2 linked regions of the Macaca mulatta genome follow. The protein of the gene in region 1 purifies or fractionates together with the protein of each later gene. This does not show direct contact. Links are inferred from orthologs where the notes say so. Each region holds a gene or a part of one and is shown on either strand. Other genes may lie near its edges.

Region 1 (2,695 bases):
TTTTACCCTTAGGGAAGAAATAAATTGTGCTCTATGGTTCTTGTAAGGATGTTTCTTACAGAAATCATGGATAGTATCACCAGTCTACAGCCACTATCTATCACAGAATTTACATGGAAACCTACAGCCTCATTAGAAAAACTTAGCATGCACATTTCATAAAGAAATGAATGAATGATCCATTCTGCCTCACTGTGGTATGAGATGTAATGGTAATTCCTAAGAGGGTTATGTGTCTTGTTTCCTAACAGCAAATGCTGTTTTAAGTTTGCAATGATCGAACAAATGCAGTCAGTATGTTTTTGATGAACCATGGATGAAAAGAGATCACTGAAATTCTAAAGAATCAATCTATACTATAGCTTTTCTCCTAAATCCCTTCTGCCCTTAAAAAATAATAAATGATTTCCTTATAATAAGCCTTAATGCATGTTTTACAACTACATCTGCTGCAACAGGAATGCTGGTATTTAGTTTTAGTGACACTACTCTGATAGCAAATGTTCACTGATTCTATCATTTATAGGGCAATGACCAAGGCAATGTCTGGAAAAAAAAAAACCGAAACACTTTAATTTTTAAGACAACTGCAAGCACCTCAAACAATGGATTATTGTTACAACACTTGTTAGCTTTTCACAATCTAGTTATTGCAAAGGCATATGGATAAATGTTAATGGACAAAGTCAAAAACGAGGCACCTTAATGAATGTAAAATTTAAAATAAAAAGACATTCAATCCACTGACGTCTAAAAGAGGCTAAATATACCTCTATATATTACATTCTAAAATTGTATTGCCTACTATGGTTTGTGTCCTGGAGTCTACAATTAATTTTAAGGAAATGCATAAACAAAACTGTGTGCAACCTGCAAAGGGAAAATCATTTTCTCAACTTCATTTTATGGAAAGACAATGAAAAAGCTAGTAAAATTTGTTGTAGCCACACGTAAAGCTACCTATGGAATGAATGTGATCACTGTTACCTTTGAGCTGTGAGGAGTATTCTGCCCACTGCACTGCAAATTGTATATACCACACCTTGTGTTCTAGACAAGCATGATCATGCTTTTCAAAAAATATACGTATTTTTTCATTCCACACAATGAACACGTTTCTCTTTTCCAATTTAATCTATGTAGAGCTTAACTTACAGCGCCCAGAGGAGGCAACATGACATGGTACTGAGCCATCACATTTTTAAAGGGAAATTGCTCTTCTTTAAAAGTACTTTTAAAAATATGCAAAAATACAAATGGGACTGCTAAATTATAATGCATATTTTAGAATGAGAAGCATATATTTTCTTCCTTTAAAGTGCCATATAGAGAATGACATCTTACAACCCAGAGCCACTTTGTTTAAAATCCAATGTGAAAAGACTGTTATGGAATGAAAAGTTTGTACAACTCCTTGGAGCAGTTAAAGTCTGCTACATGCAACATAGGCTACAAAGCACTCAAGACTTGGTAGCTTTTCTGAAATTTGAGTCCCCCTCCCATATTTAATGGAAAGTAACATTTACAGGGTGCATTTACATACACTATAATACAGGAATGATGTCCCTTTGCCAGAAGATAAAATTGTACATTTCCTTGCTATTTCTTGGTTCCAACTTGATAATTTCTTAAGATTGTAAATTATATAGTACTCAGCTAAAATATTTCTTCATAAATAGTTACAAAACCTGCCAAAACACAAAGGGAAAGTATTTTTCATTCAAAAAAAGGACATTTGAATGTCACACAACACAAGAAACAATGCTTAGAGACATGTTATTGTTTCCAGAAGAAAATGGTCAGTAAACTACTTAGCTGAAGACGAAAGACTACCCTTCCCCAGGATCACAGTGCACAAAAAGCAAAATGTCAAACAACAGTACCTCAAAGCAAAATAAAGGTCTGAGGATGAAGCCAGCTCACTTGTAATCCTGTTAAAGAATGAGAGTCACCGTTTAGGTCCAATGTACTGGGAACATTTGCTAGCTCAGAATGCAATATTGGTAGAATTTGCTAAGAATTCAACCAAGGATGCCGAAGGCATTCGCCAGCTGAGGCTCGTTTTTCTGGAACCATTTCTAACATCGGGATCAGGAAATCTGTAAACTGTGCAGCATCTTCATGGGGCCAGCCATACTTTTCCACAAGTACATCAAAGAGGCTCCAGGGCTTCAGCTTGGTGATGTGTCGCAGTTCTCCTATAGGGGGAAAAACAGGCCAATGTCAAGAAAGCTCCAAATCTGCATTCCCCATTGTTGGTCCAGTCAGGCTCTTTTCAATGAAGCGGACAACCACCTGCTCAACACTTACACGGCAACAACAAAGGACACCAGCTTTTCCCCGCTAGGCAGTAATCATTACATGCACATATGACCAAGGCATATTTCAAGTAAGCCTGGTGGATGTAAATAGAGGTTAATTAATAGTTCATTCACATTAGTTCTAAGTTTCTTTAAGTAAGTGGAGTGGGCTCACTTTGCCCAGAGTGTTTTCTTTTCCAAAGGCTGAAGCAAGCCACTCTCATTTCAACCTGGGATCTTTCGTAAAATTTGCAAACTTGAGGCCAACCCAAATCAAACACCATTCATGTCTACGCATTTGTTGTAAAATCTAAGATCCTAGGACATTAATTTGTAAATCTTGAAGTTATATTTCACAAACTGTACTAGCTGCAGTATGAAAAGTGTGGGTTACA
Region 2 (4,419 bases), on another chromosome or scaffold:
CAGGCTGGTCTCAAACTCTTGACCTGAGGTGATCCACCCACCTCGGCCTTCCAAAATGCTGGGATTACAGGCATGAGCCTCCACACCAGGCCCATGTATGTGTATCTTAAGTGTGTTAAATTCCACAAAGGGGAAGGAAAGGGAGCTACGATTACGGCATCTTTAGAGGACACCTGACTGAGCTCGGGAAACAAGACTGCTCTGAGGACTGAGATCTGACAGATGAGCAGTAGTTAACCAGGTATGGGAAGAGCTCATACAAAGGTCCTGTGGCTGGGGAGTGCTTGGGTCAGTGGAGGAATAGCAAGGAGGCCAAAATGACTTGTGCAAAGGAACAAGGCAGAGTGTGGGGTGGTGTGAGTCTGGAGGAGGGGCAAAGACCAGGCCATGCAGGACCCTAAAGGCCACAGTGAGGAGCCTAGGCTTTCTCTCAAGGGTACTTAGAAGCCATAGAGGTGCTGTGAGCAAGAAAGGGACAGGGTCAGTTTTGCGCTTTAGAAAGGCCTCTTGGACTCTTCTAGGGAGGATAGACTGGAGGAGCCAGGACTGGAGGCCAGCGGACCAGAGAGGAGGCTGGGGCAGTAATACAGGAGCAAATGGAAAATGTCTATATAAATGTCATCTGACAGGAAAACTGAACCTAGTAAACAGGTGCCATTTCAAGCTGGGATCCCAAGGAGACAGAGGAGTTAAACAGGTGAGGAGGGGGTAATACAGGCCAAAGCCCCGTGGTGGCAGAAATAGAAGGCCAGTGGAGCTGTCCAAGGATGAAGCTCAGTGGTCAGACCACAAGGGTCTTTTAGGCCAGGGATAGTTTGGTCTTCCCCCCAAAACAACTGAAGCATCAAACAGGAGAGGGAAGTGGTCAGGTTTCACTTAATATTCACTCCTTTTTTTTTTTTCCTTTTTTTTGAGACAGAATCTAGCTCTGTCACCCAGGCTGGAGTGCAGTGGGGCCATCTCCGTGCACTGCAGCTTCCCCCTCCCAGGCTAAGCAATTCTCGTGCCTCAGCCTCCCGAGTAGCTAGGACTACATGCACACACCACTAAGCCTGGCTAATTTATGTATCTTTAGTAGAGACGGGATTTCACCATTTTTGCCAGGCTGGTCTCGAACTCGTGACCTCAGGTGATCTGCCCACCTCGGCCTCCCAAAGTGCTGGGATTACAGGTGTGAGCCACCGTGCCCAGCCAACTTAATACTCACTCCTATTGTGTGCCAAGCCAAACCTCAAGAGTGGCTGAGCTCTTCTGGGAATGGGGAACCCAGCAACAAGCAAAACAGACAACGTTCTGGAGGTGGCCAGTCTAACGTCAGGACTGCTCTGAGGATTACAGAGACTTCCCTTTTTCTTGCTAACACCAGATCGGCACTGGGAGGCCACACCAAACGACACAGTATGTTACAACAAACAGAAGCTCTTGGGATCCTAACAATGATTATGCTCAAGAAAAGATTAATGAATATACTCCTGAGGAAATAAGCCTCTTGTCTTGACATACTTCCAAGCCCAGATTTTACCAGGATGACCTGTGTCCCCCAAACTAGGGTCCCCCACCCCAGACGAAAGGCCAGTTACTCACGATCTTTTCATAATACTCCCGTCTCCGCTCCGCCCTCTTCTTGTAGTCGACCATCATGCCTCGAAGTTTCCGCTCATGCTTCCGAGCCTCGTGCCACATTGTGGTGAGGCCGAGCCTGGGGCCTCAACCTGAGGGATGAAGGGACCAGGAAAGGCAGATGGGCTGTGAAAACCATATGGGCAGAATCAAAGTCATCTAACAAGTTGGTGACAGAGTCGATCCCAAACAACACATCGCTTAGCTTCAGGGAGCAGAAGTGAAGCTGCAGAACGGTATGCCAGATGTTCAAGTCCATCCCTAACAACTTCGATCTGGCAACTTGGGCATTCTAAAAAACCCTTAGGTGATTCTGAGGTGAGCATCCCTGGGAAAGGGGTGTCCTACATTCCATGCGCTGGAGTCGGGGATGAAAGTTTTGAAACATCAGTAGGGTCAGTAGTTTGAAGTAGGGTCAGACGGCAAACCCTGAGCACCTAAGGCTGGAGCTCAAGGGAAAGAGAAGAGCTGAAAAGGCTCCCACTAGGGGCCATGCGTGGGTATGAGTCTGGGTGCTAGAGGGATAAGGAAGGTAAGGATGAAGGCAGGTGGAGGAAATCGGAGAAAGCCTTTAAGGGAACAGTGCAGTTGCATGAAGGTGGAGGTCGAGGACAGGTGAAGGGCGTGGCGGAAAATGAAGATGCTAGAGGGAGTAGGAACACGGGAAGAGAGTGTTGCAAGGAGACCAGAGTGAAGTTGAGGTCTAAAGATGGGATCTAGATGGCAGGGTGTGGAGAGTACCCAAGGAAAAAGAGGGTAGAGCTTGAGAGAGGCGGAGTTGGCTGACGGGAGGGCGTGGGCTGAGCTTGGGGGCAGGGCTTGTGGGAAAGGGAGGAGACCGAAGGTTTGGACAGGGCTTGTGGATCGCGTCGCGGCCTGAGGATTTGGGCTGGATTGTTTTTTTGGGTTTTTTTTTTGACATGGGGGCGGGGACTGTGATAAGCTGTTGGCCGAAGGCCGAGTCCGACGCGGCAACTTCTGGCCCACAGCCGGGGCACGGGCGCGGCCTGAGGCCCGTCAGGCCGAATGGGGTGAGGGACGAGCGATCCTCGGGGCCGGGACGCAGCAGAAGCCTACAGCAGTATGGGAAAAGCCTAAGGAAAGGGAGAAGCTGGGCTGACGCCTGCCCGAAAACCGGGAGGTCGAGCCCGCCGCCTGCACTCACCGGCTGGTCTCCGCCTCCCAAAGCTGCGCTCGCGCGCTGCCCGCACAGGAAGCGGAAATGAAAGGCCGCGCTAGGGAGAGGGGGCGGAGCGTGGTGGAGCTCTGCACAGCGCAGTTCCGCCGACGTGAGGGGCGGGTCCTAGGGTTGAGAGGGGCGGGGTCAGAGGAAGAAGCGGTAGAACCGAGAAGGGAAGAGCTTGGATGCTTTATCTTTTTATCTTTTTTAATTTTATTTATTTATTTTTATTTTTATTTATTATTTTTTTTGGATTGCAAAAATTTATTAAAATTGGAGACACTGTTTTAATCTTCTTGTGCCATGAGACTCCATCAGGCTGTCTACAAAGACCATTGGGAGGCTGAGGATCACTTGAGCCCAGACGTCTGAGGCTGTAGTAAGCTTCAGAGGGCCACTGCACTCCAGCTTGGGTGAGGAAAGACCCTGTCTTTCAAGCGGTAAGCTGCATGCTTGCTTGCTGTGGTCATTAAAAACCCTAGTTTAGGATAACAGGTCTGCCTGTTTGAAGATGAAAAATAATCCCATTTAAAATTTGCCCTACTCCATTTCCTTTTCAGTCACATTTCAACTTTTAAACAGCTAATCACTCCCATCTAGAGATTAAGATGTATATGCCACTAAAACCTTTTGCCACCTTAAAAATTTCCTTAAGGCCGGGCGCGGTGGCTCAAGCCTGTAATCCCAGCACTTTGGGAGGCCGAGACGGGTGGATCACGAGGTCAGGAGATCGAGACCATCCTGGCAAACACGGTGAAACCCCGTCTCTACTAAAAAATACAAAAAAACTAGCTGGGCGAGGTGGCGGGCGCCTGTAGTCCCAGCTACTCGGGAGGCTGAGGCAGGAGAATGGCGTAAACCCGGGAGGCGGAGCTTGCAGTGAGCTGAGATCCAGCCACTGCACTCCAGCCTGGGCGACAGAGCCAGACTCCATCTCAAAAAAAAAAAAAAATTTCCTTGAAAGTTTAAACTAACCTGCATTTCTTCAAGCATGAAATCTGAGTCCTGAAATTAAGGGACAATACACAGTAAGACAACTTGCATACAATTAAGGGTAACCCAAAATCTCCAAACACTATAGAATGACTATATTCCCCTTTTCAGGGCATAAACTAGAATGTTACAGCCATCTTTTTATCTTTTTTATTTTATTTTTTTTTCTGAGACGGAGTCTGTCTTTGTCGCCCAGGCTAGAGTGGCGCGATCTAGGCTCACTGCAACCTTTGCCTCCTGGGTTCAAGCGATTCTCCCACCTCAGCCTCCCGAGTAGCTGGGACTACAGGCATGCGCCACCATGCCCGGCTAATTTTAGTATTTTTTGTAGAGACTAGGTTTCGTCTTGTTGCCCAGGCTGATCTCAAACTCGTGAGCTCAAGCGATCCTCCCGCCTTGGCCTCCCAAAGTGCTGGGATGACAGGCCTGAGCCCCCAGCCAGGAGGCTTTCTTTGCTACGTAAGGAACTAGGGCGTTTCCCAAGCGCAGAATAGACGAAACTCCCGAGGCTCAAAAACTCATCTTTATTGGGAAGACTCTGAACAACCAACCTACCCCCCACCTTCAAGTCTGGGGAGGAAGGGCCGGGCATCTGCCCCCTCCTCCCATATGTACAATCTTTTCCG

What was found. The genes of interacting proteins can lie anywhere in the genome.
Region 2: the proteins of SRPK2 (region 1) and CLASRP purify together in Homo sapiens (affinity purification with mass spectrometry; 3 studies listed by BioGRID and IntAct, with this or other methods). This does not show direct contact. The link is inferred for Macaca mulatta from reciprocal best matches to the Homo sapiens genes SRPK2 and CLASRP.

Annotation. Positions count from the first base shown.
Region 1 is NC_133408.1:144,699,797-144,702,491, forward strand, and holds the end of SRPK2 (SRSF protein kinase 2), read right to left. Parts: intron 2,199-2,695; coding exon 2,014-2,198; 3' UTR 548-2,013; downstream 1-547. UniProt on the Homo sapiens protein: Serine/arginine-rich protein-specific kinase which specifically phosphorylates its substrates at serine residues located in regions rich in arginine/serine dipeptides, known as RS domains and is involved in the phosphorylation of SR splicing factors and the regulation of splicing.
Region 2 is NC_133424.1:57,552,952-57,557,370, reverse strand, and holds the start of CLASRP (CLK4-associating serine/arginine rich protein), read right to left. Parts: upstream 2,845-4,419; 5' UTR 2,786-2,844; intron 1,747-2,785; 5' UTR 1,684-1,746; coding exon 1,585-1,683; intron 1-1,584. UniProt on the Homo sapiens protein: Probably functions as an alternative splicing regulator. May regulate the mRNA splicing of genes such as CLK1. May act by regulating members of the CLK kinase family.